Linked DNA regions of Saccharomyces cerevisiae S288C. The gene in region 1 interacts genetically with each later gene. Each region holds a gene or a part of one and is shown on either strand. Other genes may lie near its edges. The genes, in order: BEM3, HRI1 and CBT1.

The links.
Region 2: mutations in BEM3 (region 1) and HRI1 together harm fitness more than expected from each alone (negative genetic interaction), as found in Saccharomyces cerevisiae (2 studies listed by BioGRID).
Region 3: mutations in BEM3 (region 1) and CBT1 together harm fitness more than expected from each alone (negative genetic interaction), as found in Saccharomyces cerevisiae (2 studies listed by BioGRID).

The regions. Positions count from the first base shown.
Region 1 is NC_001148.4:330,101-340,907, reverse strand, and holds BEM3 (GTPase-activating protein BEM3), read left to right. Parts: upstream 1-5,421; coding exon 5,422-8,808; downstream 8,809-10,807. Other genes in the region: CAR1 (arginase), read right to left, coding at 1-964; PEX25 (Pex25p), read left to right, coding at 2,288-3,472; YPL113C (glyoxylate reductase), read left to right, coding at 3,765-4,955; HOS3 (histone deacetylase), read right to left, coding at 9,209-10,807. UniProt on the Saccharomyces cerevisiae protein: GTPase-activating protein (GAP) for CDC42 and less efficiently for RHO1. Negative regulator of the pheromone-response pathway through the STE20 protein kinase.
Region 2 is NC_001144.5:725,470-735,783, reverse strand, and holds HRI1 (Hri1p), read right to left. Parts: upstream 4,960-10,314; coding exon 4,225-4,959; downstream 1-4,224. Other genes in the region: aconitate hydratase ACO1, read left to right, coding at 1-572; bifunctional cysteine synthase/O-acetylhomoserine aminocarboxypropyltransferase MET17, read right to left, coding at 1,908-3,242; YLR302C (uncharacterized protein), read left to right, coding at 3,231-3,593; EXG1 (glucan 1,3-beta-glucosidase), read right to left, coding at 5,483-6,829; ECM38 (gamma-glutamyltransferase), read right to left, coding at 7,733-9,715. UniProt on the Saccharomyces cerevisiae protein: Unknown. Non essential.
Region 3 is NC_001143.9:38,395-48,472, reverse strand, and holds CBT1 (Cbt1p), read right to left. Parts: upstream 1,317-10,078; coding exon 501-1,316; downstream 1-500. Other genes in the region: ER membrane complex subunit EMC3, read right to left, coding at 1-279; ATP-binding cassette a-factor transporter STE6, read left to right, coding at 2,178-6,050; E1 ubiquitin-activating protein UBA1, read right to left, coding at 6,236-9,310. UniProt on the Saccharomyces cerevisiae protein: Involved in 5'-end processing of mitochondrial COB, 15S rRNA, and RPM1 transcript. May also have a role in 3'-end processing of the COB pre-mRNA.

The DNA.
Region 1 (10,807 bases):
CGCAACCTGCAGAGATGGTGTTTGAAACATGGATATCATGAATAGCCAGATCAGGGTTACATTCAACAACGTCTAGCGCAATTAAATTACCGGATTCGGCCAATCTTTCCACCAAGAAAAGACCTTCTCTCAAGGTCAACCCACCTCTCACTGGAGTACCTGTAGCAGGAATGTATAATGGGTCTACACCATCGACGTCATAGGAGCACATAATGGGACCTTCACCGTTTGTTTCTGGGTGCACGGCTTTCATTGCCATTTCAATGACAGCGTTGATGCCGTATTTGTCAACGTGGTACATGGAAAAGGCGGCGATACCCAGATCTTTCAAGATTTTCTTTTCTCCGGCATCAACATCTCTCAACCCAATATACGCGATCTTTTTTGGGCTCAAGTTGCCTGGAACCCATTTGAGCGACTCGGGACAATGTGGGACATCCTTGTTCAAACCCATTAGGAATGACACGGGACAGCCGTGCAAGTTTCCAGAGGGGGTGCTTTCTATGGTGTTTATATCAGCGTGGGCGTCTATCCATAAAAGACCAGCATCGGGGTATTTGTCCAAAACCGCGGATACAGTACCAATGGCTATTGAATGATCACCACCCAAGGTCAAGGGGAATCTGTTCGCCTGGACCACTTTCGACACGGAGTTGTACACCAACTTGGTGGCTTCACCAACCAAATCTGCTCTTTTAGCCTTGACACCGTCTATCATAACAGAGGAACCCCCAGTTGTGGAGTCCTTCTCCATTTTCAACTTTCCCACAAATTGGGCCTCGTCCATTGAGGGCTCTAATTCCGTAGACCAGCCCAAATCCTCTATGCTTGTTTGCAGACCATGCTTAAGCATGTATTTAGGGCCCTTCTCGACACCAAGCTTACCCTGACCGCCGCTGAATGGAGCCAGAACGATGGACAATTCGCGATTTTTGTAGTAGTTGTAATGAGGTCCTGTTTCCATCTTGATAGTAGTTATTGTTATTGATATAGTTGTTGTTGTTGTTTCTGCTAACTTTGAGAAAACATATACAGACCAAGAGAAGAGAAACAGTCTTAGATCTTGATAGAAAGTGGGCCGCAAGCTCTGCTTATATACTCTTTAGACCCCTCGGCGGCTACCGCTAAGTGAAAAATTCAGCGAGCGGCGATGCGCTGTTGATTGCCATTAGCAGCACGGTGCTTTGCGAAGGGCAAGAGCTAGAGACTATTCGCACTAGCCGATATTTTCGCGGCGTCTCGGCTTCTTGTAAGGGATAGAAAAAAACTGTTAATGGAAGGAGCAATCAAAGGGCGGGGATCGCGGGCGACGGTGCGGCATCGAAAAAGTGAAGAACCAGTAAAAATAGAGGTGGGGTTTATCAGTGTTGATATCTAAGTTTATGATAAACATTGATGAGTCAGGGATTGCACCCGTAGTTCATCCGTATGATGTGATGTTGTTTGTTTTTGTTTCATGTAAGGTTGCTAGAATAGGGTCCTGTCAGACAGTATGCGTAGCTTTACCATCATTTCGCCGCTATATGTGAAGGGCCGTAAATTGGATATACGGTATGTAAAAATCAGCGGAATATTATGATGAGAAGTGAGAAAATTGAAGTCAGTAATCTTGGATATTCAGAACTGTCAATCCTCAGTTTGGCCAATTTTATTTAATTTGTTAATAGCAGAACTTACCGGGCGGTCCAGTTTTGCCTACACGGTTTGGTATAAAGTTTAAAAAGCATATATACGAGCTAGATGAAGTATCCAATAGAGTTTTTCTCACGATGGTATTGGAATAGCTTCCTTGAAAGGTAACTACATACAGTGTCGAGGAAAAATAGACAATTACTTAAAGGAGTAAATGTTACTATACCTGAAAGAAATTAAGAGTCGCCATGCGTAGCAGTAATCACAACCGACATCGGGGAAGAGTGAGGGGAGCAAATTGGATGTAAATATTTTGGTGAATTTGCTCGGTACGCGCTAAACTCACATGATTTAGCAGCGCCGTGGCGCAGTGGAAGCGCGCAGGGCTCATAACCCTGATGTCCTCGGATCGAAACCGAGCGGCGCTAAATTTATTTTTTTCTTTTTACTCTTCATTTTTTTTCCAGGTCGGTGATAGTATATGAAATTCCGGTGGGATTGGGCTTATTATTTCAGGTTATATAATTTTTGAAATACGTTTTTCTTCTTTCTTCTCAGAATCATCGGTAATTTGTATGCTGGAGAAAGTAACAAATAGAGTCGATATCCTCAACTTCCCTGTAAGTCTTCACCTATAGAAACTGGTCGTAAAACAATGAGTCAGTTTGGCACGACAGATATCGTTTCCGGTTCAGAAACACCACCTTATTCTGGGGCAAGTTACCAGGACGCCCAGGATGACAATACCCATCCACATTCATCAGACGCCGGTGCAGAGAAGTTCAGTGCAGGCAGTGGAAGCGAGTCGCATACTGAATCCTCGAGAAGTGATGATGAGGATTCTCAAGCAAAAACAAAGATGGTGGATAATATTACCATCTTAAAATATATATTGGATTCTCTATCTGGTAGAGACAAATTAGCCAAAATTATCAAATACGCTCTGGATATATTAAAACTGTTTATCGAAAAGTCTAAGCGAAATTTAACTGTTTTGGACCCTTCCGTATTAACGTACTATACCAAGATTTTGAAAAATCTGACTGTAAAAGTCGCACTAAGGCATCCAATCACGGTAATTAAAGTACTTCTCCTGTCTCTTTTGAGAAATTTTGACAAGAAAATTGATTTTATCAGTCAACAATTAAGTACTTTTAGATATATTTTAAGGTTTGGCGGCACACCATTCCGAGTGTGCAGTTTCTTGGGGAAATTCAATAAAACCAGAAAGTGCAACTTTCAAATTGACCAAATTAAGAAAATATGGTTTAATGAAGCTTCATTGAGAGAATTTTTGGACTTGTATTATGGTATCTTTGATGAATTAGACTTGCTATACAAATTGAAAATATGGACAAATAAATCATTCTATTCCTTTGTCAGTAGACAAGAGTCTCTTGCATGGCAATACGACATTCTTTTAAGCTTGAAGGACCATTGGCTCAACCTGCAAAGCTTACAGAAGAGACAATTAGAATTGGAAGTGCAACTAAAAGTTCAAAATAACGCGTTACTACTCTCACCCATACTGATGCATCAGGCCCATAAAGACGATGGCTCACAATCGCCAATTAGGAAACAGTTGTTAAATGACCTAAATGTTAATAACGACGCAGAGGTGTTAATACACAAACAACTAAAGGCCATCAAGGATGAAAAGACACTTGTTTATTTAGATATTGCAAGATTATCGTTTGATTGCATGGCTAATACATCAGATATTCTAAATTTAAAAACTCCAAAGGGAACGTATGCCGTTCTGTCCCTGGGATCCGGCTTAACTGGACTGGTTAAACTTTGGATAACAACAAAGAGGTCACTTTGCTCTTCAAAAGATTGATATATAAAAATATGTATACATATAGATATGTACATATATATGTGGCGAATAATGTTTTACCTCTGCATTTGTATTGTTATTTGATTCGTTGAATAAGATAGTTTGGCGCTCGGTTTTTGCTCTTTTTCTTCCGTTTTTATGTCATTGGGGTGGCGGTAGTCATTCCGTTTTACGGTATGTTTATTCTGACACTTTGACGCAGATCTAAAAGGTGGAGTGTGGAGTACAAATAGCTCTCTCTCAAATACAGAAAAATACTTGAGTGTACAAAAGTAGCAACCTTTAAATAACAATGATTACTTCAATTGACATAGCAGATGTAACTTATTCTGCCAAACCAAGAATTTTGGTGCCTTATAAAACCCAATGGGAAGTCGCCAGTCATCTTCCTGAATATCGCAAACTGGCAGAAAGGGTAGAATTCTATAAATATGAGATGTCCACAAAGGATGATTTTGTTAAATTTTTGGAAACTCATAGAATAAACGGCTTTTGGCTCACTGAGGAGTTTTTCACTGTGTTAGGAAACCCTTCGAGTTATATTGAATTCTTCCCCGCATCTTTAAAAGTAATCCTTGTACCATGGGTCGGCTGTGACTTTATTGACGGTAAGTTATTAAGATCGAAAGGTATCACTTTATGCAACATTGGACCACATGCTGCTGACCATGTCACAGAATTGGCTATTTTCCTAGCAATTAGCTGCTTTAGAATGACTTCATTTTGGGAATATTGTTTTAAATACGTGGAAAATGGTAATGTTGAACAGTGTAAGAAATATATCTCTAGTGACTCGTATGAAATTGTTACAGATAGTTACCACGGTCAGGAAATGAAATTTCCCTCTCGAACAGACAAATGCAAGCCTAACAAGGATAGGAAAGTGGTACATTTAGCAGAAAAGTACACGGTTGGCGGGAAAAAAATGGAATCTCCAATGAATAAAAAAGTTCTAATATTGGGGTTTGGCTCCATCGGACAAAATATAGGGTCTAACTTGCACAAAGTGTTCAACATGAGCATTGAATACTACAAAAGGACCGGTCCCGTCCAAAAGAGTCTACTTGATTACAACGCTAAGTACCATTCTGATCTAGATGATCCAAATACTTGGAAGAATGCGGATTTGATCATTTTGGCCTTGCCCAGTACGGCCTCTACAAACAATATTATCAATCGTAAAAGTTTGGCCTGGTGTAAAGATGGTGTCAGGATAGTTAACGTTGGGAGAGGCACATGCATAGATGAAGATGTGCTACTAGACGCTCTTGAATCTGGAAAAGTGGCAAGCTGTGGTCTCGATGTGTTTAAAAATGAGGAAACACGCGTTAAGCAAGAGTTACTTCGCAGATGGGATGTTACAGCTTTGCCACATATCGGCAGCACAGTTGCCGACATGGTCATAAAGCAGACACTCATCACACTCGAGAATGTGCAGGACATATTTGTCGAGGGAGGTGATGGTAAGTATGTGCTCAACTGAACCATTCATTATGTTACAAAGATAGCATTTCAATTAGGATTACATACGTATATGCATTGCTCTTTATACCACAACTCTAAGAATGTCGAAAGTTATATGGCGGCGGTGATGTTGGAAAAAAAACGCGGCCGTTTTATAAAGAACAATAATCGTCTGACTAGGTAAAGTACCAGATAAGAACCGTTTTTATTGCGCGTATTGGTATGTTTTTTAAACGGAATTTTTCAAGATTGTTAAATACATCAACGATATATCCATTTTAATCACCGTTTACCTTTGTGTGTTAGCTTTGTATCTGGAAGTTTTTTCTCTTTTCTTCTTTGTCCTTGCCTTCTACCATTTTGCCTTTTGTTCGAGTTCGTGATTACATCAGGCATATACAACATCACGTTTGTTGAAACACTGGCTGCTAGGAGTATCTGTGTGTATATTCTAGAATAAACTCACACTCAACTAACAGCACGCAATGACAGATAATTTGACCACAACTCATGGTGGTAGTACCACCCTTGAATTGTTGGCGCAGTACAATGATCATAGATCCAAAAAGGACAAATCTATAGAACATATAGAAAAAGGAACATGTTCAGGAAAAGAAAGAAATCCGTCCTATGATGAAATTTTTACGGAAAACATTAAGCTAAAGCTACAAGTCCAAGAATATGAAACTGAAATTGAGAGTTTGGAAAAGGTTATTGATATGTTACAAAAAAACAGAGAAGCTTCCTTAGAAGTTGTGCTTGAGCAAGTTCAAAATGACTCAAGAGATTCATACGTTAACGATCAATCATTTGTGTTACCCCCAAGATCTGCTGAAAGGAAAGCGCATATCAAGAGTCTTAATTTGCCAATACCGACATTGTCCCCTCCATTGCAACAAGGTTCAGACGTTGCACTTGAAACAAGTGTAACGCCTACAGTACCTCAAATAGGTGTTACATCAAATACTTCAATAAGTAGGAAGCATTTACAGAACATGATACTAAACGATGAAATAGAAGCAAATAGTAGCTTCTCATCTCCCAAAATTATCAATAGATCTGTCTCAAGCCCTACAAAAATACATTCAGAACAGTTGGCTAGCCCAGCTGCCTCTGTTACCTATACGACGTCTAGGATAACCATAAAATCACCTAATAAAGGTTCGAAATCTCCATTGCAAGAACGTTTGCGTTCCCCTCAAAATCCTAACAGAATGACGGCTGTTATCAACAACCATTTGCATTCTCCATTAAAGGCCAGTACCTCTAATAATTTAGATGAGCTGACTGAAAGTAAAAGTCAACAACTAACTAATGACGCGATACAAAAAAATGACCGCGTTTATTCTTCTATAACATCCTCTGCATACACTACTGGAACTCCTACTTCAGCAGCCAAAAGTCCATCATCCCTTTTGGAAGTCAAGGAGGGTGAAAACAAGGCTTTGGGTTTCTCTCCAGCATCTAAAGAAAAACTTGACGACTTCACCCAATTACTTGACTCCTCATTTGGCGAAGAGGATCTAGTCAATACGGACAGTAAAGATCCTCTGTCCATAAAATCCACGATTAACGAATCTTTACCCCCACCTCCAGCGCCTCCAACTTTTTTCTCACCTACTTCTAGTGGAAATATAAAAAACTCTACTCCTTTATCAAGCCATTTGGCTTCTCCGGTTATCTTGAATAAAAAGGATGATAATTTTGGTGCTCAAAGTGCAAAAAATTTAAAGAAACCTGTGTTAACTTCATCACTCCCCAATCTTTCTACAAAATTGTCAACAACAAGTCAAAATGCTTCTCTTCCTCCAAATCCTCCCGTGGAAAGTTCATCAAAACAAAAACAACTTGGAGAAACGGCATCCATCCATTCAACCAATACCTTGAATACATTTAGCTCAACACCCCAAGGTTCGTTGAAGACACTTAGAAGACCTCATGCAAGTAGCGTGAGCACCGTGAAGTCTGTGGCCCAAAGTCTTAAGTCGGATATTCCATTATTCGTTCAACCGGAGGATTTTGGCACTATCCAGATTGAAGTACTGAGCACATTGTACAGGGATAATGAAGATGATTTATCCATTTTAATTGCAATCATAGACAGGAAATCCGGTAAGGAGATGTTTAAATTTTCAAAATCTATTCATAAAGTTCGCGAATTAGATGTATATATGAAATCACATGTTCCCGATTTACCATTGCCCACGTTACCTGATAGACAATTATTTCAGACTTTATCACCTACAAAAGTGGATACGCGAAAGAACATATTGAATCAGTATTATACAAGCATATTCAGTGTCCCTGAATTTCCCAAAAATGTTGGTTTAAAAATCGCCCAATTTATTAGTACAGATACAGTAATGACACCTCCAATGATGGATGATAATGTGAAAGACGGATCACTTTTGCTGAGAAGACCAAAGACTCTAACAGGTAATAGTACATGGAGAGTTCGGTACGGTATTTTGCGCGATGATGTTTTACAATTGTTTGACAAAAATCAGTTGACTGAAACTATTAAATTGAGACAATCTTCTATAGAACTTATACCCAATCTCCCTGAAGATAGATTTGGAACGAGAAATGGGTTTTTGATCACTGAGCATAAGAAAAGCGGACTGTCAACCTCAACAAAGTATTATATTTGTACTGAAACGTCGAAGGAACGTGAATTATGGCTTTCTGCGTTTAGTGATTACATTGATCCTTCACAAAGTTTATCGTTATCTAGCTCGAGGAATGCAAACGATACTGATTCTGCATCTCACTTGAGCGCAGGAACACACCATTCTAAATTTGGAAACGCAACTATCTCAGCAACCGATACTCCATCATATGTCACTGATTTGACCCAAGAATATAATAATAATAACAATATTAGTAATAGTAGCAATAACATTGCTAATAGCGATGGTATTGACTCAAACCCATCTTCTCACTCTAACTTCCTAGCAAGTTCAAGCGGGAATGCAGAGGAGGAGAAGGATAGTAGGAGAGCCAAAATGAGAAGTTTATTCCCTTTTAAAAAATTAACCGGCCCGGCGAGTGCAATGAACCATATAGGTATTACAATTTCAAATGATTCGGATTCTCCAACATCTCCTGACTCTATCATTAAGTCACCAAGCAAAAAATTAATGGAAGTATCCTCTTCGTCAAATTCTTCTACGGGTCCACATGTGTCCACTGCAATATTTGGCTCGTCACTAGAAACGTGTTTAAGATTGAGTTCGCATAAGTACCAAAACGTTTACGATTTACCGAGTGTAGTTTATCGTTGCTTAGAGTATCTTTACAAAAACCGTGGTATCCAGGAAGAAGGCATATTTAGACTAAGCGGGTCCAGTACAGTTATCAAAACTTTACAAGAAAGGTTTGATAAAGAGTACGATGTAGATTTATGTCGGTACAATGAAAGTATTGAAGCTAAAGATGATGAGGCATCTCCAAGTCTTTACATTGGTGTGAATACTGTAAGTGGGTTACTAAAGTTGTACTTGAGAAAGTTGCCCCATTTATTATTTGGTGACGAACAATTTTTGTCGTTTAAAAGAGTAGTTGATGAAAATCATAATAATCCTGTTCAAATATCATTGGGGTTTAAGGAACTTATTGAATCTGGCCTAGTTCCTCACGCTAACCTATCGTTGATGTATGCTCTTTTTGAACTGCTGGTAAGGATCAATGAGAATAGTAAGTTTAATAAGATGAATCTAAGAAATTTATGCATCGTGTTTTCCCCAACTCTAAATATTCCAATTAGTATGCTTCAACCATTCATCACTGACTTTGCGTGTATATTTCAGGGTGGTGAACCAGTTAAAGAAGAGGAAAGGGAGAAAGTAGATATACATATTCCTCAGGTTTGATGGTCTAAAATTGTAGAAATATAACGTTGCCAGTAAACCTCCATTGATTTAATGATAGAAAGAGGGCGAGATGTATAGAGGCTTCTTTCTTTCAACGATATATTTGTAATAATAAAAAAATGTCAGGCTGATAAAGCTTATAGAGTGACTGTCTTTTTATTCCTCAAATGTTATTTACAATACCATATAATAAAATTAGTATATTGTCAAATAAAATAAGAGAAAAAAACTAACTTCTTGACCAAATGGTCGAAGAGCTGAGATAAAGAAGGAAAAAAATTAAAATTACTAACTATACAAGGAAATATAAAAATAGAAAAATTGTGTTACTAAATACAAAAAAGTAATATATGCGTCACTTCTTTAGTGGGTTCAAGACAACATTATATATGCATTGGTATCACCATCTTCCACCACTTCTTGTTGTATGTTTTCTTGAAACATGAGAAATCATTGATATATCACTATCGTCATAAGTTGGTGTATTTGCGTTTTGAGGCTGTCTTATGCGATGCGGTTTCGTATTGGAGGGAATTTTATACATTCCATTACCTTGTAGACGGCGTTGGTGCGAGTTTTTCCAATTTTTTTCTTTTAGCTCATGGTCTGAATCTTCATCACCTTTTTTTTCAATTTCTAAGGTCTCCAAATGTCTAGAAATATCATCAATGGTAATATCCTCCACCGTGCGATTGAAAGTTTTGTTCAATTCTTCATCGTAAACGTATTCTTCATCTTCATCCTCACTGGAAAATTCTTGTTGCAAAAACGGAATTTGGGTTTCAGCTGCTCTATTATTTGACGAGAGCTGCTTGACCTTGGTATCGCTTCTAATTTCCCTTTGTTCCTGTTTTTCCGTGCTTCTCGGCTTGTTTTCATGAAGTTCTTTTTCTGGGGAAGCGTTGCTTCTATGAGATCTGATTATTCTTTGAGCAATTGTCGACGTGGATGCTGGTTCGACAGTAGCCTTTAGTAGAGAATTAGAAGGTGCGCTGTTAACTGCGTCTTTAAAAATGATATCATCGAATTCCGGTATCATTGCTCGTCCCAGCCTGATAACTTCTTCTGCCCATATTCTTATGACATCTTTTGCTCTTTTTGTCTTATAGGGTTTCCAAGCCGGTTTGCAACCACGAACAATCTCTTTAACGACTTGTTCAGACCCCCATTCTTTAACCCAATCTTGGTTTTGTAAACCGATCAAATGTGCGAAAACACCAGAACATATAGCTTTATCAGAATATCCACCCTCCATTAGAGACAAAACTTTGCCATGACAGTGCATTTGTGCTAATTTCAATGCATCTTTGGTGAACGTTGTATAAAAACTTGTAGGAACGTTGACACTATGCCTTTGCATTGAAGTTTGCTCAAATTCTGATGCATCGAAACCTGCGCTTATGACAACCAAACCTTTGAATGGTCTCCCTTGTTGATTCATTTCTAGTTTTGCGCTCCTGAAAAATTCATCTGCTTTAGCAAATAAAGTTCTATATTTTGTCCTGTATAATACATTGAATTCTTCTTCGGTTGTCCATTTGGATAAGTGAATATTCCAGATGTTTAGGTCATGAGAGTTCATGATACAGGTAGATGCATTTTTAATGTTCTCCTTTGTGGCAAATCCCGACTCTGTTGGAAATGAATTTATATCATGCATAGAAAAATAACCGACTTTGGGAAATTCGGCAAATTTCTTACCAAAATCATCATAAGATGAATCTTCAGGTTCCTCCTCAGGTTTGAAACCCGCACGTTTCCAGCAAATGTCTTGGGTCCCATCACCGTGGTGTAGATCGAAATCAAGCACGACAACATGCGTGACGTTGTAAGTATCATACGCATATTCTATGGCTACATGTGCATTGTTTAACAGACAAAAGCCGGATGGTGTACCATAGTGGCAATGATGACCAGGAGGCCGTATAGCAACAAAAGCTCTGTTACTAATATGTTCTGCAGATGGTCCTTTGAAAATTGAGTCAACACCAGTTTCAAT
Region 2 (10,314 bases), on another chromosome or scaffold:
CAACTACTGATCATATTTCTATGGCTGGTCCATGGTTGAAATACAGAGGTCATTTAGAAAACATTTCTAATAACTATATGATTGGTGCTATTAATGCTGAAAACAAGAAGGCTAACTGTGTTAAAAATGTATATACTGGTGAATACAAAGGTGTTCCAGACACTGCTAGAGATTACAGAGACCAAGGTATCAAGTGGGTTGTTATTGGTGATGAAAACTTTGGTGAAGGTTCCTCTCGTGAACACGCTGCTTTGGAACCAAGATTCTTGGGCGGTTTCGCTATCATCACAAAGTCTTTCGCTCGTATCCATGAAACTAACTTGAAAAAACAAGGTCTATTGCCATTGAACTTCAAGAACCCAGCTGACTATGACAAGATCAACCCTGATGACAGAATCGATATTCTGGGTCTAGCTGAATTGGCTCCAGGTAAGCCTGTAACAATGAGAGTTCATCCAAAGAATGGTAAGCCATGGGATGCTGTGTTGACCCATACTTTCAACGATGAGCAAATTGAATGGTTCAAATATGGTTCTGCCTTAAATAAAATTAAGGCCGATGAGAAGAAATAATGAAAACATTGTTATAATCTTTTAAAGGTTATTATTTATTTTGTCTTCTGTACACCGTACCCTTGTTTATCTTTTCTGCCTTAAATTTAATGACGTTCGGCTGGAGAAGTCAAGACTATGAAATATATCTCGTAATTTATGATCGTATATTATTTATTTATTGATTGTTTTATTGTTTATTTATTTATTTAAGTACCCCTATTGTACGTACATAAAAAAGCAAAACTTTTATATTATATTGTTGCTGATTATGTACTCAGTTTAACGAGGATTAAAAAAAAAAAAAAATTAAGTAATAAGTGCACCGTCTGTCAGACGGTCGAATTTAAAAATAAATGGTCTCTAGCGGGATCGAACCGCTGATCCCCGCGTTATTAGCACGGTGCCTTAACCAACTGGGCCAAGAGACCAAACTTTGTTGAATGTTGAGCAAGTTAACATCTTATAGGACATATTAAACTATGACGACATTGTTGCAAATAAAACACTATTGATTGCTTAAAAGGGCAATCCGACTATATCTGAGACGAACAAAGACACTGTTGGAATAAAAATCCACTATTGTCTATCAACTAATACTTATACTATCAATATATTATAATAGACGGCGTTAGATGATGACATAAGTTATGAGAAGATGTCATCGAGGTTAGAGGAAGCTGAAGTGCAAGGATTGATAATGTAGTAAGAATGTGAATATATCACATAGAATCACCAATTCCATTTTATGGATTCCTATACCACGAGGAGAACTAGTATGTCCTGGCTATCTAATATTATGGCCTCTAGCAGCAACGAAATGCCAACAATTAAATCCAAGTTCACCTATTCTGACTTTTATATTTAATAACTAACATTTTTATCAACGATGGAATTCCAACAGCTTTACTAATCTTTACTTGTAATTTGGCTTTTTAGATCTATAATATTTATTGTATGGAAAGTAGCATCCAACCAAATCCCGCGAAGTTTTCCTGATTTACATAACAAGCAAATACTAAAAACGTTAACACACATGTGCTTCTTTATTGTAAAGAAACCTCCATCATCCTCTTTTGTAACTTGGTCCTACAATAAATTTATCCAGTGTGACAGCTTTATAGGAGGCGTAAAGTAGTCTCATGAAGTAGATGAGTCTTGTTCACCATATTTTTCTTCTCGACTGCGAATTAACACTGTTCTTTGATGTTAGAACAATTTAGGTTCAAAGTACGAGTCACGACATGTAACAAGGGAAAAAAAGGATATTCATTTCAATAAAGTTCGTTTTATAAAAGTATAGTACTTGTGAGAGAAAGTAGGTTTATACATAATTTTACAACTCATTACGCACACTCATGGTTTTTGGCCAGCGAAAACAGTTTCAAAAGATTGCTGGAAGTCTGCAATAATGTCATCAATAAATTCGATACCAACAGAGACACGAATTAAGTCCTTGGTAACACCAGATGCCAACTTTTCTTTGTCATTTAATTGTTTGTGGGTAGTGAAGTATGGAGCAATGACTAAGGTCTTGGCATCACCAACATTGGCCAAGTTAGAGGCAAGCTTTAAATTGTCAACAACTTGAGCACCAGAAAGTTTGAATGGGTCAGTTTCCTTGTCGGCATTTGGTAAGTCTTTTACACCGAAAGATAAGACACCACCGAAACCGTTAGATAGATACTTCTTAGCATTTTCATGATGAGAATGAGATGCTAAACCAGGGTATGAAACCCAAGATACGTATGGGGATTGTTCTAACCATTTGGCTAACTTCAATGCATTTTCACCGTGTCTTTCAGCTCTCAAAGATAATGTTTCAACACCTTGTAGTAGCAAGAAAGAGGCAAATGGGTTCATCAATGGACCCAAATCTCTTAATAGTTCAGTTCTAACATGAACGATGTATGCCAAGTTACCGTAGGCTTCATTGTAGATAGTACCGTGATATCCTTCGGCAGGTTGAGAGAATTGAGGGAACTTTTCTGGGTAGTCCTTCCATGGGAACTTACCAGAGTCAACAATAATACCACCGATAGTAGTACCATGACCACCAATCCATTTGGTAGCAGAATGTGTTACAATATCAGCACCGTATTTAATTGGCTGACAGAAGTAACCACCGGCACCAAATGTGTTGTCAACGACAACTGGAATACCGTGTTTGTGAGCAATTGCAACAATTTTTTCAAAATCCGGAACATTGTACTTTGGATTACCAATGGTTTCCAAATAAACAGCCTTGGTTCTTTCATCAAAGACCTTTTCGAATTCTTCTGGATTGTCACCTTCAACAAATCTAGCCTCGATACCAAATCTTTTGAACGAGATTTTGAACTGGTTATAAGTACCACCGTATAAGTAAGAAGTGGAAACGATGTTGTCACCAGTGTGTGCCAAACCTTGGATGGCAAGGGTTTGAGCGGCTTGACCGGAGGAAACAGCCAAAGCAGCAGCACCACCTTCTAAAGCAGCAATTCTTTCTTCCAAAACATTACTGGTTGGGTTTTGGAAACGGGAATAGACGTAACCTGGAACTTCTAGACCAAACAATTGCGAACCATGCTTAGAGTTTTCGAAAACATAAGAAGTGGTGGCGTAAATTGGTACAGCTCTGGATCTGTGAGCATTGTCACCAGGGTTCTCTTGGCCGGCGTGTAGTTGAACAGTATCGAAATGAGATGGCATTGTATGGATGGGGGTAATAGAATTGTATCTATGTATCTGACGACCCTGTATTACACGAAGGAAATAGTAGATGAAAAGACAAGAGAGCAAGAAAAAGGAAAAACTTCCTTTCTAACAGACGCTTTACTTAACCTTATATATATCTTATTTTTTTCATCGAGCGTGTTCAATTGGACAAGGTGCCACCTTTTCGACACTTCGGTTATTATGTTACACAGTTTTCATGAGGATGGCGCCTTGACTAACTTAATTAGTCATTTGCCAACCACCACAGTTCCCCAATATCGACAGCTTCACGTGCCATTTGCCATTTTGCGATCATGTGACCTCAAGAGAAAAAGCAAAAAATAATGAGAGCTAAGGGATTCGAACCCTTGCATCCGAAGATATCAGAGATTTTAGAGGTTAAATCCACCTAAATCTGACGCCTTAAACCACTCGGCCAAACTCCCATTGTATGTTGGAAGAATTGGATTTAAATGTCTATTATAGCATTAAATATCTTTAAATACATTCAAGAAATGGCGAAATTATTTCTTAGTGTTGGAATAAAAATCAACTATCATCTACTAACTAGTATTTACGTTACTAGTATATTATCATATACGGTGTTAGAAGATGACGCAAATGATGAGAAATAGTCATCTAAATTAGTGGAAGCTGAAACGCAAGGATTGATAATGTAATAGGATCAATGAATATTAACATATAAAACGATGATAATAATATTTATAGAATTGTGTAGAATTGCAGATTCCCTTTTATGGATTCCTAAATCCTCGAGGAGAACTTCTAGTATATTCTACATACCTAATATTATTGCCTTATTAAAAATGGAATCCCAACAATTATCTCAAAATTCACCAAATTTTCACTTAGGTATTTTCTTTTATAAAGTCTATCGTTATAAAAATACTATATAGATCCCATAGGTGCTTATTATAGCAGCAGAAGAAAGTAGAAAACGATTTATTCTCCTTTATTAAGCGTGATATTCAATAACTTCCCAGTTCAACCCATTGCTGGTTACAGTGGAACCTTTCTTCAAATTTTCGTAGCTTTGTGGAATTTTGTTTACTTCCTTACCGTAGCTTAATAAGAACTCAGATTTACCTGAATCTTTTTCAAGTAATCTGATGAAGTTCAAGCCTTCAATAGTGTTATTATTCTTTTGGGACAAAAACCCTTGAATCCATCTACCAATAACAATAACCAAACCATCATAAGCTTCGTCAGTAACTTTGAGGACAATTGACCTAGCATTCGACGAGAACTTCTCATTGTTTGGTGAGACGATGACTAGATCTTCTCTTGATGGGTCAACTGGTTGCCACAATTCTCTGAAAGAGACGCTTTCTTTGTCGGCACCGAATGGGTAAACAGCGCCTGTTTCCTCGACACAACCAGAATCCCAATTTTTCCAAGTGGTGTTCACTTCGCCACGATGGGTGTTTGGAACGTTCAAGTACACATTTGTATCCAACCAGAAATTGAAATCTTGAGTAACGACACCGTTTCCTTGATCATTAGCTTTAACTGTTTCGTTTGTACCGGCAAAGGCCCATTCGAAAGGAAAAGATAACTCATCACCGCTTGGCTTAACAAATGGTCTCAAGGAAATATAGTGCCCATCAGTTGAAACAGAGGATAAGGTGAATGTTCTTTCGTTTGGATGAGGACCCACTTGAAACAATAATCTTTTTAATAATGCTGGCATTGTAACTTAATTTTTTGTTTGTTGTTGTTTAAGTTCTTTTATCCTTCCTTAGATAACACCTTAAAGCTCCAGTTACAACAGCGGTGAGAATTGACTTTATATTCGGGGCACTTCCGGTTGTTTTACGAACATGTGATTCGGAAATTTTATGCAAGACGACACGGAACGGAACGTATGCCGGCGGAAAAGCTCACGTGTGAAGAAGAAAACAAAAAGAGTAAGCTGGATTTTCTTTTTCGGAGATTCTGTAGAATTTTTTTATTAGTGCAATGAGGTAAAAAGGAAACTAATATTAAATTCTGAAGGTTATGTTACATAGTTTTTATTATTATTATCGTATATTCTATAAGTGTACCATATAAAATAATGTCTTTACTTAGACTTAAGTGAGAGATCTCTGTAAAATGTTGGATAAAAAAGAGATAATGAACTAAAAGGGGTAGATAAATTAACGTTCTGTTAAGTTTTGCTGATGAAAAATAACATTAGAAAATTCAGCTAAAATGAGCGGACTGAGGGCGACTTAGTTAGAAATTGTGCCACATTGGTTTGGATACTTTCTGTCAGTCAATGGTTGAGGGAATAAACCATTGAACATCAATCTTTGAGCATCCCATTCCAAACTAGATTCTGTCTTGTAACACCAGATAATCCAACCCCCTCTCATTTCAAAGGCATCTAGTTGTGCCTCCACATAACGTCTTGTGTTTTCCTTTCTTTCGTCAGACCAGTAAGCTATATCATCGTTGTTAGCACAAGAGCCAATGTAAGAAGATGTTTGGTCACCATTGACCCAAGAACCGTCGTATCTAGCGCCGAAGCCAACACTATTCAACCATTTTGTACAATCAGTCAAAGCGGCAGCAAACTCACCACAAACAGTCCAGTGGGATTCATTCAAAACTCCGGTACCCCATTCACAAGCTACTTTAATATGTTCATCAATGGATCTTTCCAATTGATCAGAAGCAAAGACTTGGTAGTGATGATGGTCGATAGTGACACCCCAGTAGCCATCGTTTTCAGTCATGAAGTCATCCCAATAATTGTATGGTTGGAAAGCGTCATGGATGATGATAACTTGGTCACTCTTGATGTTGTTTCTCAAGTATTCGTAAGCAGGTGCCAAGTAGTCATTCTTCATTTTATCCATGTCTAGAACAGGACCCAATGGCTCATTAATCAATTCGATACCAATAACAGTGTCCAAGTATTCCTCCGCAGAGTATTTTTTCAATATGTAGTTCAAGACATTTGTAGTAACGGCCAAATTGCTGTCTTCCAAAAACTTGTATGAATCTCTCAAACCAGAGTTATCAAACCCGTTCTGCGAACCAGCGGCACCATGCAAATCAACCCAAACTTTCAAGCTGTTGTTTCTAGCCCAACCGATGGCTTGGTCTAGGTAAGATTCCTGTAGGCCGCTAACATAAGGATCATCGTCCAAAGTTTGGAAAGCCCAGTAACCGATAGGAATTCTGACAAGGTTGAAACCTTGGGAAGCAATATTAGCGAAATCTTGTTCTTGGTAGAAAGTAGACCAATGGCTCTGTAAACGGCTTTTAGCCAAATCCTTACCTAAATATTGACAGAAGTGATATTCGTCGACAGGAATTCCTTCGTCGTTGTCATCATTTGTACGGAAAGCCTCGAACAAAGATGGAGTAATGTATGGTTCAAGAAGTAACCAACCACCAATGTTGACACCACGGATTGGTTCTCCGAGGGAACCGTGGTCATAATCGTAGTATCTTTTCTTGTTCTCCTCATGAACAAATTGAATGGAAGAAGGGTCTCTTGCAGGGACTGGGGTAGCGAGTACTGATGACACAGTCAACAACGTACACAGTAACGTTTTAAGCGAAAGCATTTTAGTTGGTAATTAACTAGAAAAAGAAAGTAAACAAAAAATCAAAGGCACGTGTTATTCAAAACTTTTGGGTCCTCTCGTAAACTTTAGTTTTCTATAGTTATTTTTGACTTAGTCAATACATAATAAAAATTACTAAGAAAAGGGAGGGAGTATTTAAAACGTCTGCAAAAACATTACTTTTTCCCAAAAATCCATCCAACTTATATACATTTTTTATCATCCACGCCTTTTTATTTAAAGTGCCTTTCTCTGCAACTGCTCATATGACGATATGAGATGGCAAGTTCAAGTTTGTTACACCGCTTATTGATGTGCACACAGGTACGGAACACGCTAAAATTATAACGGCGTGCTCGAGAGAAAAACCCAACAGGGTTGGTCTGGGCATCTCCAGCAAGCCACGGTTTTAAATTGACAGTGCTTCACACTGCGGTGTTGTCTGGGGCGCCTCTGTATTTGCGGCAACGCGCCTGGTTACGGGCTTGTCTCAGGCTCGTGTGCACCGCACTGTAAACACAGGGAGGATGACTGGGTCAGGTCCCCACGGTTTATTTATAGTAAACAACAATGCGCGTATGTGTGCGTATTAATGCTATAAAAAGAAACGCGCAGTATCAAGCCATCAGATTTTTTTAATAATGGTAAATACGTATGCTGGCATCGTTCCGAAGTCGCGTCTCGGCTGCAAGGTAGGGAAACTTACTGAAAAAGGCAAAGCTCGCATGATCTGGATTTTTTGTTTTGTTTTAAGGGCGTATGCCCTTTGTTAATGAAAAGTAAATATTGATTCTTTAAAAATAAACGCAAGCCCAGTATTTATTTATATACCACAGAAGCAGGCTCCCTACATTACGTACTATTATCTTGAACTATATTACAGTACCATTCTTACCCCACATCTTAGTATACGGAGGAGATTCCTCTTTTTCTCCAATAGTCACTCACCGCATGCCATTCTCCCCTGACATTGCGTATAGCATTAACTACGCTCTTGGGAAATACTTCTTTCATCGTATATCCCATTTCCTTGAGAGTGCTTAGTACGGCTTTACCGATCATGGGGAAGCTTTCCAGTTCTATGCGGTCGGGCAGTAACTGGTGGTGTATACGTGGATAGGCTATCGTTTCCAATATAGGCATGTTATACCAGTACGTCCTCACAATTGTTTGTAAAACACTCGTAGTGATTCTTGAGCCGCCGGAAGCGCCGACCACGAGGTCTGGGATGCCTAATTCTGACAGCACAATAGTGGGTGCAGTGGATGATAGGGGTCTTTTCCCGGGCTCGGGAAAGTTGTATATGGAGGGTGCCAATTCAAAACTATTAGATTTGTTGAATTGAGCGAAATCGTCCATTTCATTATTGAAGATCACCCCGGTTTTTGGGTCGTGTACTAAGGAACCGAACAACAAGTTGATGGTGGTTGTCAAGGAAACAGCATTCCCATGTGAATCTACTATACTGAAGTGGGCAGTTCCATGCGGGTTATTGATATCGTATGCCGGATCATAAAGCGTCCAGTTTTCTAAAGTTTTAAAATTTCCGTCTTGAGAGTTTCTTTTGATTGATTTCACTGCTTTCAAAGCCCATTCTGGATCCAATACCTCTTCTATATGCTTAGGTAATGCTTCGCCTTCAAAATCGCCTAACCTGCTTCTTGCGCTTGCCATCCATTTCATGCTTTCAAGCAAATGATAGGTAGTTTCTTTTTCATAATCGCCCCCTTCTTGATTCTGGAAATTATCCATTATCCTTAACGCCGCAAGTAGTGCAGCCCCGGAACTTGAGCCGCTACTTGTTAATACGGTCATATCGTTATCAGGGATGAAATTGGCGCCCTTCCTAATTTTCATGGACAGTGGTTTAGTAACATGAACATCATACGATGAAACATCCTGCAAGTTCATTATTCCATTGTATTTTGCGACAGTATCAATCATGGATTTTGCAATCCAGTGATCGGGGTCATAAAATGGGGCCACGGAACCATTTTTAGCCAGTTCCATTAGCATGTTAGATAGTGCCGGCCTCTTGATCCAATCGCCTTCTTTCAAAACACCGTCATGGGTAGAATTCAATACAAACGACCAATCTTCCTTCAATGTCAGGAAAACATCCTCATAAAGTTCTAAAGTGGCACCGAGTGCTTCGCCTATTTGCCAACCCACGCTTCCCAGCTTTGCGACTGGTTCAATTAGATCACGCCAATCAACTTGGCCGCTACCTCTTTCTTTAAAGAGGCGATAGAGACCCATCAATTCACCTGGAACACCGACAGCAAGACCCCCTATTTTTGAGCATAGAGAGCAGTTTTCGAACATGAACTTATGTGAATCCATGGGTGCTTTTTCTCTAAAATCAATGGATAGATGATCTTCATCGTCTTTGCCAGAAAAAACTACGTAGCCACCACCTCCAATCCCACTATTAAAAAAATTCACCATACCCTTACAAAGAGCTTGTGTTACTGCAGCGTCTGCAGCGTTAGAACCGGGAAATTTCAGGAGTACCTCATTTATAGTCAAATTACTACAGACTTCTAAATCTGAACTTATAGCACCATGCAAACCGACTTTTAGAAGTTGCCTATCAGGCGTTAAACTAGGACGGCGAGGTAAAGGGTCAATATCGATGTTATGGTGATCCTTATCGCCGCCATCATCATCGTCGTCTTTTTTCAAATATTCTGCAATAATGTCAACATCTCGATTGGCAGACCCTCGAAGGAGATTATTTATTCTCTGCAAAGTCTCCTGAGAGGCGAATGATACCATTTTTGACGGCATTCCGGACACTAACACACCCAGTGTTAACAGAGTGAATATATGCAGTATAAAACAGGTATTTAAAGTCTTGGGGACTTTTCTATTACACAACAGCATAACTGTAAGTCTAGTACGCTACTTTTTGTCTTGTCTTTTTGTGTGCCTGACAACGCCCCACTTGAATCTGCGTTAGCTTTTTATTCTATTATTTAAGATAACTGTGCAACAGGAAGTCACGATCGAACTTTACGGAAGAATTATAATATTGAGAAGTGCTAGTACACACAGGCGCACACACACATATATATATGTATCTATATACGTGTATGTAGATTTGGAAGTCGAATAGATAAATGCCGTTATGTTCCCTCAGAGAAAATTGATAAGCGGGCAAAAGGCGGCACTAAGACGTTCGAAGGGGCGGATCTTTTCTTTTGATCAACAACAGGCACAGCCGCTGAGTAATATAGTTATGATTTTTCTAATCTCATGTAGGTAATAAAATCTTAAAAGTTATTTTTATTTTCACTCTTTTATATGTGAATAGAGACACTTGTATAGAGATAATAAACGGTTCAAACTCTTTTCACTTTCATATGTTCCACACAGTACCTTATCATTGAACACTAGATTTCCGCAAGTGTCAAGGTACATAGGCGGGTAAGCGTTAAGGATAACAGAAAATATTCTTGCTATACTGAAGATATAATATGAGC
Region 3 (10,078 bases), on another chromosome or scaffold:
CTGCTTGGCCTTGGCTAGGTGCCTTTCCTCAGTGAGATCCTTAACTAGAAATTCCTTCTTCGCAGCAAATGCATCGGAAGACAGGTTCCCACCGTTTCCAATCAATAATTGTGCCCATTGTAGATATTGCCATTCAGTTAACTTTACCCTTGGTTGTGCTTCATTTGCACTGCTTCCCGTTATAAGTGTCATGATGTACTGTTTGAGTACACCCGTCAAAACCATGACAATCGAAATAGGTAACAGGACCCAATACTTCAGCTGGTCATCTAATAACATCTGCGGCGCCCTAGCTTGTTGAATACTGCTTGTTGTTTTGTCTATTCTGTTGAAGAGAAGTTGTTGTAAATGCTGGTTAATCGTCATTCTTTAACATCACAATGCTTTATTATACCTCTTCGTTCTTAGTGAGATGGCGGAAGCCAGTGCTATAGTCACCAAATAATACGCATTATATATGGATATGTACAGTTCGCAGATCTTTATGGCATATTTATCGTTTACAACCGTCTTCTGGTGAATATGAGCCAGTTGTGACCCCCATGATCCGTGACGGAAGGTGAGGTAATTCGGTTCGTCGCCAATTGACTCAGTAAAAGCTTAACTTGCGACTTGATACGCGTGCTCTGATCCAACGGTTCATCCTTCTTGTTATTTCGTGCTATTTTTAACAGCTTCCAGTAGTTTAAATTGCGGTACATTCTCGAGGATTCTTCCAATAAAGGCTGGATATAAGAGACTGCTTCGCTCATTTCAGTGTCTTGATCACCACCGTTGCTTATCAGGGAACGTTTGCAGCCGAAATTTATATTTATACCAATGGTATGCAATTTCAATCTTACTGGAACGTTTGGCATGCTGTTGAATAAGATCAGTTGCGAGAGAGATGGGATGTCCTGAACTGTCTGAAACATGCACCTGTATTCATGTTCTGACTCGCTCGGATCAGTCAGGAAATCAAGTCCCAAACAGTGACCCAACGCTGAGTTTGTCAACTTCCTCTTCATAAAGACTGTCGGTAGTTTGTCGTTTATTGCTCCTTTAGATATGCCCTCTGTTATGAATTCCTTCCATAAAGAGGGGAGATTGTAGGAAGAATCGACAAGACTACCAGCGCCACTGTTTTCCCAGTCGTAAAGCACGAAGGTGTTGTATTCATTCAAGTATTCTTGATATTTGCTTTCACGTAGTTTGTAATTTATCTTCCGCTTTAGGGCAAAACGTTGTTTGCTGGATACATTTCCATACCTAAGCACAAACTTCGGCGTTTTAAGAACTTTCGAAACCTCACTACTATGACTTCCATAGCTCACCATTTTTTCCTTGCAATATTTCTCTCTCCTTTGTTTAATGCTTCTTTACCCAAAAGCGCAGTAAACTTCTGATCAATCAATAAGACGAAACTTGAGAAAACGAAAAATCGAAGAAATATTATATATAGATAGTTGTGGCTGAATAATATATATCTGTTCAAACGTTTTAACGCGCGATAGAAAAAAGATCTCGCTGCTAACTTTTTGAATAACCATTACTACTTTTCCAAGCTATAGGCAAATGGCACCTGCTTCATTTTTAAGGTCATTTTTGCTAAATGTATCATCTTCAAAATAGATAAATCTGTAAAGTATAGCGGAGCCACAAATTTAGCAGGTATAAAAATTACTCAGCCCTTTTGGCCAAGTGGTAAGGCATCGCACTCGTAATGCGGGGATCGTGGGTTCAATTCCCACAGAGGGCATTTGAAATTTTATTTTCTATTTTTTAATTTTTATATATAATATATATAACGCGACATAGCTGTTATTACCTACTAGTAATATCCTCTCTTTTTTCAAACAATGATGGTCCTTGCACTGACAAATATGTTCCTTTCCTTTTTCTTTTCTCTATTCTGCCACTATACAATTTATTGTTTTCCACAAAGGGTAAAGGTACTTTAAGAAAATAGTTTCTTATTTTTTTTGCCATGTAATTACCTAATAGGGAAATTTACACGCTGCTTCGCACATATACAATTGTTTCAGATATGAAAACTGTTGCATTATTGCCGTTCATCATTTAAATACCAGAGCTTATAAACCTGGATATGGCTGAACTATCTCCCGTTGTTACGTTCACACAGAGAGCTTTCAAGTGCCGCTGAAAATTCCACTAGGAAACAAAGAACAAGCTACGTCATGAACTTTTTAAGTTTTAAGACTACAAAACACTATCACATTTTCAGGTACGTGAACATACGGAATGACTACAGGCTGTTAATGATAATGATAATAGGTACCGTGGCAACAGGCCTAGTGCCGGCAATTACTTCTATCCTGACGGGCAGAGTGTTCGATCTACTATCAGTTTTCGTGGCTAATGGGTCACATCAAGGTTTGTATTCCCAACTAGTACAGAGGTCAATGGCAGTAATGGCACTTGGTGCGGCTTCTGTGCCAGTAATGTGGCTTTCTCTAACAAGTTGGATGCACATCGGCGAGAGACAAGGCTTTAGAATACGGTCACAGATATTGGAGGCATATTTGGAGGAAAAGCCAATGGAATGGTACGACAATAATGAAAAATTGTTAGGAGATTTTACTCAAATCAACAGATGTGTGGAAGAGCTAAGATCAAGCTCCGCAGAGGCATCAGCCATAACTTTCCAGAATTTAGTTGCAATATGTGCGCTTCTGGGGACGTCATTCTACTATTCTTGGTCATTAACTTTAATTATTCTTTGCAGCTCTCCAATAATCACATTTTTTGCAGTGGTGTTTTCCAGAATGATTCATGTATATTCAGAGAAGGAGAATTCTGAAACGAGTAAAGCAGCCCAATTACTTACATGGTCGATGAATGCCGCTCAATTAGTGAGATTATATTGTACACAACGTCTAGAAAGGAAAAAATTCAAGGAAATCATACTAAATTGTAACACTTTCTTCATCAAGAGTTGCTTTTTTGTTGCTGCAAACGCTGGGATCTTGAGATTTTTGACGTTGACTATGTTTGTACAGGGATTCTGGTTTGGTTCCGCAATGATCAAAAAGGGCAAGCTGAACATTAACGATGTAATCACTTGCTTCCATTCATGCATTATGCTGGGCTCGACTTTAAATAATACATTACACCAAATAGTTGTTCTTCAAAAAGGCGGAGTGGCTATGGAAAAAATCATGACTCTATTAAAAGATGGATCCAAGCGAAATCCTTTAAATAAAACTGTAGCCCACCAATTTCCACTAGATTATGCCACCAGTGATCTAACATTTGCTAATGTTTCGTTTTCTTATCCAAGCAGACCTTCGGAAGCAGTTTTAAAGAACGTTAGTTTAAATTTCTCTGCAGGACAATTTACTTTCATAGTAGGAAAATCAGGCTCAGGTAAATCTACATTATCCAACTTATTATTAAGGTTCTACGATGGCTATAATGGATCGATATCTATCAATGGCCACAATATCCAAACAATCGACCAAAAATTGCTAATTGAAAATATCACCGTCGTAGAACAGCGTTGTACCCTATTTAATGATACTCTTAGAAAAAATATTCTTTTAGGTTCAACAGATTCGGTAAGAAATGCCGATTGCAGCACCAATGAAAATAGACATTTAATCAAAGATGCCTGTCAAATGGCTCTTCTGGATAGATTTATTCTAGACCTTCCCGATGGACTGGAAACATTAATTGGGACTGGGGGTGTCACACTAAGTGGCGGGCAACAACAAAGAGTTGCTATAGCACGTGCATTCATCAGAGATACTCCAATATTATTCTTAGACGAAGCTGTATCGGCTCTAGATATTGTTCATCGCAACCTGTTGATGAAGGCAATTAGGCATTGGAGGAAAGGAAAGACTACAATCATATTGACGCATGAGTTGAGCCAAATTGAATCTGATGACTATTTATATTTAATGAAGGAAGGTGAAGTTGTTGAAAGCGGCACCCAGTCTGAACTTCTAGCCGATCCGACCACTACATTTAGCACATGGTATCACCTACAGAATGACTACTCTGATGCGAAAACTATTGTAGATACAGAGACTGAAGAAAAATCTATACACACTGTGGAAAGTTTTAACTCTCAATTGGAAACACCAAAACTTGGATCATGCTTAAGTAATCTGGGATATGATGAGACAGATCAGTTGTCCTTTTACGAAGCAATCTATCAAAAAAGATCGAACGTTAGAACAAGAAGGGTTAAAGTTGAAGAGGAAAATATTGGGTATGCACTAAAACAACAAAAGAACACCGAAAGTTCAACAGGGCCACAACTTCTGAGCATTATTCAGATTATCAAAAGAATGATTAAAAGCATAAGATACAAAAAAATTCTAATCTTGGGACTGCTATGTTCTCTTATCGCAGGCGCCACAAATCCCGTCTTTTCATACACATTCAGTTTCTTACTAGAAGGAATTGTCCCATCCACGGATGGAAAAACTGGCTCTTCACATTATTTGGCGAAATGGTCGCTTCTTGTTCTTGGTGTGGCTGCGGCAGATGGTATTTTCAATTTTGCTAAAGGATTCCTATTAGATTGCTGCAGTGAATACTGGGTTATGGATCTTAGAAATGAAGTTATGGAAAAACTGACGAGAAAGAATATGGACTGGTTTTCTGGTGAAAACAACAAGGCTTCTGAAATTTCTGCTCTAGTCTTGAATGATTTGCGAGATTTGAGGTCTTTGGTCTCTGAATTTTTGAGTGCAATGACTAGTTTCGTTACCGTATCAACGATTGGACTAATTTGGGCGTTAGTATCGGGCTGGAAGTTAAGTTTGGTTTGTATTTCGATGTTTCCACTCATAATTATATTTTCAGCAATATATGGAGGCATTTTACAAAAATGCGAAACAGATTATAAGACATCTGTTGCTCAGTTAGAAAACTGCCTGTACCAGATTGTCACTAACATTAAAACCATTAAGTGCTTACAAGCTGAATTTCATTTTCAATTGACCTACCATGACTTGAAGATAAAAATGCAACAAATTGCCTCCAAACGCGCCATTGCCACAGGATTTGGTATATCTATGACAAACATGATTGTCATGTGTATCCAAGCTATTATTTACTACTATGGCCTAAAGCTGGTTATGATTCACGAGTACACCTCAAAGGAAATGTTTACGACTTTCACTTTGTTATTATTCACTATTATGTCATGCACTAGCCTAGTAAGTCAGATACCCGATATAAGTAGAGGCCAACGTGCTGCCAGTTGGATCTATAGGATTCTTGATGAAAAGCATAATACCCTAGAGGTTGAAAACAATAATGCTAGAACAGTGGGAATAGCTGGTCACACCTACCATGGCAAAGAAAAAAAACCAATCGTTTCAATTCAAAATTTGACATTTGCCTATCCATCTGCACCTACCGCCTTTGTTTACAAAAACATGAATTTTGACATGTTTTGCGGACAGACGTTAGGTATCATTGGTGAATCAGGCACAGGAAAGTCTACACTTGTGCTTTTATTAACAAAACTTTATAATTGTGAAGTAGGCAAAATTAAAATAGACGGTACGGACGTAAATGACTGGAATTTGACAAGTTTAAGAAAAGAAATTTCAGTGGTTGAGCAAAAACCTTTATTATTCAATGGAACCATCAGAGATAACCTAACTTATGGTTTACAAGATGAAATACTTGAAATTGAAATGTATGATGCATTAAAATACGTAGGAATCCATGACTTTGTAATTTCATCACCTCAGGGCTTGGATACACGTATTGATACAACTTTACTGTCAGGTGGACAAGCGCAAAGGCTTTGCATAGCCAGAGCACTTCTGAGAAAATCAAAAATTCTGATTTTAGATGAGTGTACTTCAGCCTTGGATTCTGTCAGCTCCTCTATCATCAATGAGATCGTCAAAAAAGGTCCACCTGCTCTACTAACAATGGTTATAACGCATAGTGAACAAATGATGAGGTCTTGTAACTCGATTGCAGTTCTTAAAGATGGTAAAGTGGTTGAGCGAGGTAACTTCGACACTTTATATAATAATCGCGGGGAATTATTCCAAATTGTTTCCAACCAAAGCAGTTAAACCCAAAGAAAATATAAAACAAAAAACTAAAACATACTCAAATATTCGAGACTACATTAATAATAATAATAATAATAATAATAATAAGTTTTTACCAAAGAAAAAGTTGTCAAAAGTCATACATATATATATACATATTTAATGTATATATTTAATTTATTTTTTTATTTTGGTTAATTAGTTACTCATAGATGAATGGTAATGAAAGGAACTTCAACATCCTCTCCTTCCTTGTCATCTGCGCAAATTTCGAGAATCATTGTAGATACATGTGCCGGAATATCTTTCTTAGTCACTAATTTAACCAATTGAGTTATTGGTAGATTTAGTCTTTCTTTCAATTTCTTTGGAGGGAAAAATGAGGCATAAAGAAGAGAAACGCCATAAGAAAGCATTGTTATTTCTAACCCTTCATCTTTTTCAAAATGTTCAATTAAATCACTTAATTTAATATCTCCCTTGATATCAAATCTATCCCAAATTTTATCATATTTCTTGTTGTTATATTCTCCCTTTGGTGAAGCAATTGGTTCCGAAAAACCGAAAAATGGCAAAGCTAAATTAACAAAGCCATTCTTATATTGCTCAATATCTGTCTTGTTGTCAATCAGTTTATATAATTCCAAATTGACCAAACCAGTAACCAAAGAAGTGGTTGTTGCGATGGCAGGAATAATACGGCCAGCTATGAATTTGGTCTTTTGGCGATCAGCAGTTTCGATGAAGTAGTTTTGAGCTCTACAGTTAGAACAAGCCGTTATAAATTCAATATGATGATTAGTGTCATCGTCTTTCTCGAAATCTACAGGCTCCAGTTTAAAGCCAGCCAAAGTAGAAGGATCTGGTAGGGATGATACCAGCTGATCAATTTCATCTGAGCCATTAGCCGCGTTGGCATTTGGATCCGGATCATCGTCATTAACTTGAATTTTCAAATTGGCATTTGGAGTAAATTCTGGAATTATCATATGATCGATGACGGACTTATACTCGTCCACGTTGGGTTTAGAATTAGAGTCATCACTTTTAATACCATAATTATAAGCGCGTAAACTAGCACCTGCTACGACAAAATGGAAGTGATCGTTATTGTAAATATCAAACTCTAATGGTGTTGGAGCACGCTTAGCACCGGACCAAAATGGTTCACCGTTGGAAGTCTTGGCATCCTTGGGGAAGTTGAACAGTAACTGCTTGATATCATGGTTGAATTTTTTTTCAAATTCTAACCTTGCCCATTTGATACAATCTTCAAAATTGTGTGGTTTACTAGATAGAGAATCTGAGATGGATTCTAGAACTCCCTTGACATCCCCGCTTTGCTTTAGTGTTTGCTCAACGAAATTCGGTTGTGTCAAGTACATATTAACGTTTTCGGCGGAATCAGTGAAGTAACCTTGGAAAAGAGATTTGGCCCAGGCAATGGTGTGATCAATCTTGTTTGGGAAAGAACGTAGGGTACACAATGGGATAGACTTTTCTGGTGGGTCTCTAGAAGAAGAGTATGATTCAGTCAATCTTGGAATGATGACTTGAGTATTACCTTTAGTACCTAGGGTACCAGATTCTAACAGTGGTTTTCTATAAAACACACAACGGCGATCTACGTATGTTCTTGCGTCGACATTGTCTAGAGCGTTGGTGACAAAATCCAGGCTTTCCCAAAAGGAGTCATTAAATATTTCCTCAGTTTCTGGCCCCACTTTATCAATTTTAGCATTTATCTTGCCCTTCAAATCGGGGTTCATAGCACAAACGGCCTCTGCCGCTACTTCAGATTTGTTCTTTCCGACATCCTTTGGTCTAAACAAGAACTGACGGTTTAAGTTGGACTTTTCGATCGAATCGTTATCCGTAACAACGATGTAACCGTCGGAGCCAGAACCAAGCCCCAAAAGTGCCCAATTTTTCAACATCTCACAACCAATGGCACCAGATCCGACAAGAAAGACCTTTGAATTGGCAATCTTTTTCTGAAAATCCAAACCGAAAACCGCGATTTGATTATCGTAACGAGAGTTTACTGGCTGAGTAGTCTTCTCATTTCTTGGGAAGTTTTTAGGATCTGGCAATGATTCCAAGGAATCAAAGTACATAAATTGCTTTAGCGGAGTAAATTTACCAGAACATGCTTTTAACACTTCTTGTGCCACAAGGCCACCGAAAAATGCTACGACACCCGGTATGTCACCTCTTGCCTGATAGGAAAGCTCTTTGATTAAATCTTCATTAACATCTACACCTTCACCCAGAACCTCCGGTTGCTGAACGGACAAATCGGTGACCAACTTGATTAATTCATTGGCGTCTTCGTCATTCATTGTTCTTGGCAGTTCACCATTATGTCTAACGGCAAACTGATGTAAAGCCTGAAATCCCAAATGCAATTGAGCAGCTCTGTCAAATTTAGCAAAATCCGAAAAAACAAACTCAGGATTGGACAGTTGTTGTTTCAAAGACTTGAATGAGATTTTACGGGGTACTTTGACTTCGGTGAAGATACCGCCCTTCTTATACTCGCCATATTCTTTGACTGAACCAATTCTGAATGCAAAGGGCCCCAAAACCTCAACTTTAAAAAGGGTCCCATCATTCAACTTATCAAGACCTTCTACTTCGGAGAACCTGACAAAATTTCCGTCTTCCAACCCGTGTCTGTTATCATCTAGCATGGTCACTGTTCCATCGGGCTCGATGTCTGAAACCATACCAGTGCGAGGTTCTTCACCCGTTGGGTCCAACACTGTGAACTCGTCACCTAGGTCTACGAAGGTGTTACCAAACAGCCCTCTTGTCTCCGAGGAAATGAATCTAATACCGGAGGAATGGCAAAATTCGTTGATTTTCACCTTATCTTCCAAAGAAACAGTGTCCGTAGCGACAACGACCTGGAATTGACTCAATTGGGTAACATCGTCTAAGGAATCCAGCACATTAACCGGGACATATGCGTTCAACTCTGCCAATTTGGCTCTGGTCACATCTCCTCTCTTTTGACCAATATCCTTTTCGGTCAAAAAGAATTGGGTTGATAAGTCTGCCAATTGAACCGGCTCAGGGTCAAAAACGGTCATAGATTTGACACCTGCCAACACAACGTTCTTCGCTATCTCAACACCTAGCCCCTTCAAGCCGAGAATTAATACGTTGGAGGTTTGCATTTTCAACATTGCTTCCTTACCCAACACATAAAGTTGACGAGAATAAAGACTTTCATCGATTTCTCCGGCGGCAGAGAGACCACTATTATTGCTGCTCATAGCTATAGTTATATGTTCTTTGCTTTGCTACTAATCTTACTTTTTGTTTGCTTATATCCAGCGATTGGCGGTTGCTCATCCTACTTAAAGGCCCTTTTTGATCATTTTCTTTTACCTTTATTTGCCACCCGCACCTTTTGTCACACTACACGAGAATATGCCGCATGGAAGCGTAATGGCAATTCAAGAAAGAGCTCTAATATTATTTACAATCACATGAATACAAGATCATAGCTTAACAAGGAGTGGATAGTCAGTAAAGGCGCCCTAAGCTCTACTAAAAACTGGGCTTTAAAAGATGTTCCTCGTCACTTGAGAATCTGTTGTCCCTATCTGGTTCCTCATCATACAATCCACTCCATCGTTTCTCCCACCCTACTACAAACTAGTGAGGCGAACGAGAAAATAAGAAACACTAAGGCTCGCTTTTCCTGCTGGACAGAGACATGCATTAGTGTTTGTTGTTCTCGCGCCAGTCGCTGTTTTTGCTTGCAAGTGCGACGTCCTCTTCTTCTTCTTCTTCTTTCTTCTTTGAGATGCGTAACAACACAACTACATTTTGTATTTTCCTCCCTTTTATACTCCTCCGCTGGAGTATTTTTTCGTATTTTTCACTTTTTTTGCTTCTTATAGGCCTTTTTGAACTATTTTCTGTTAGGGCTTAAAGAAAGCGCAGCAAATGGCTGATTTTAAATGCTGTTTTCTCGAAAGCAATGCTGATGATGTACCACAAAGTAGTATTTGCGCTTAGCTTGTCGATATAAGTAT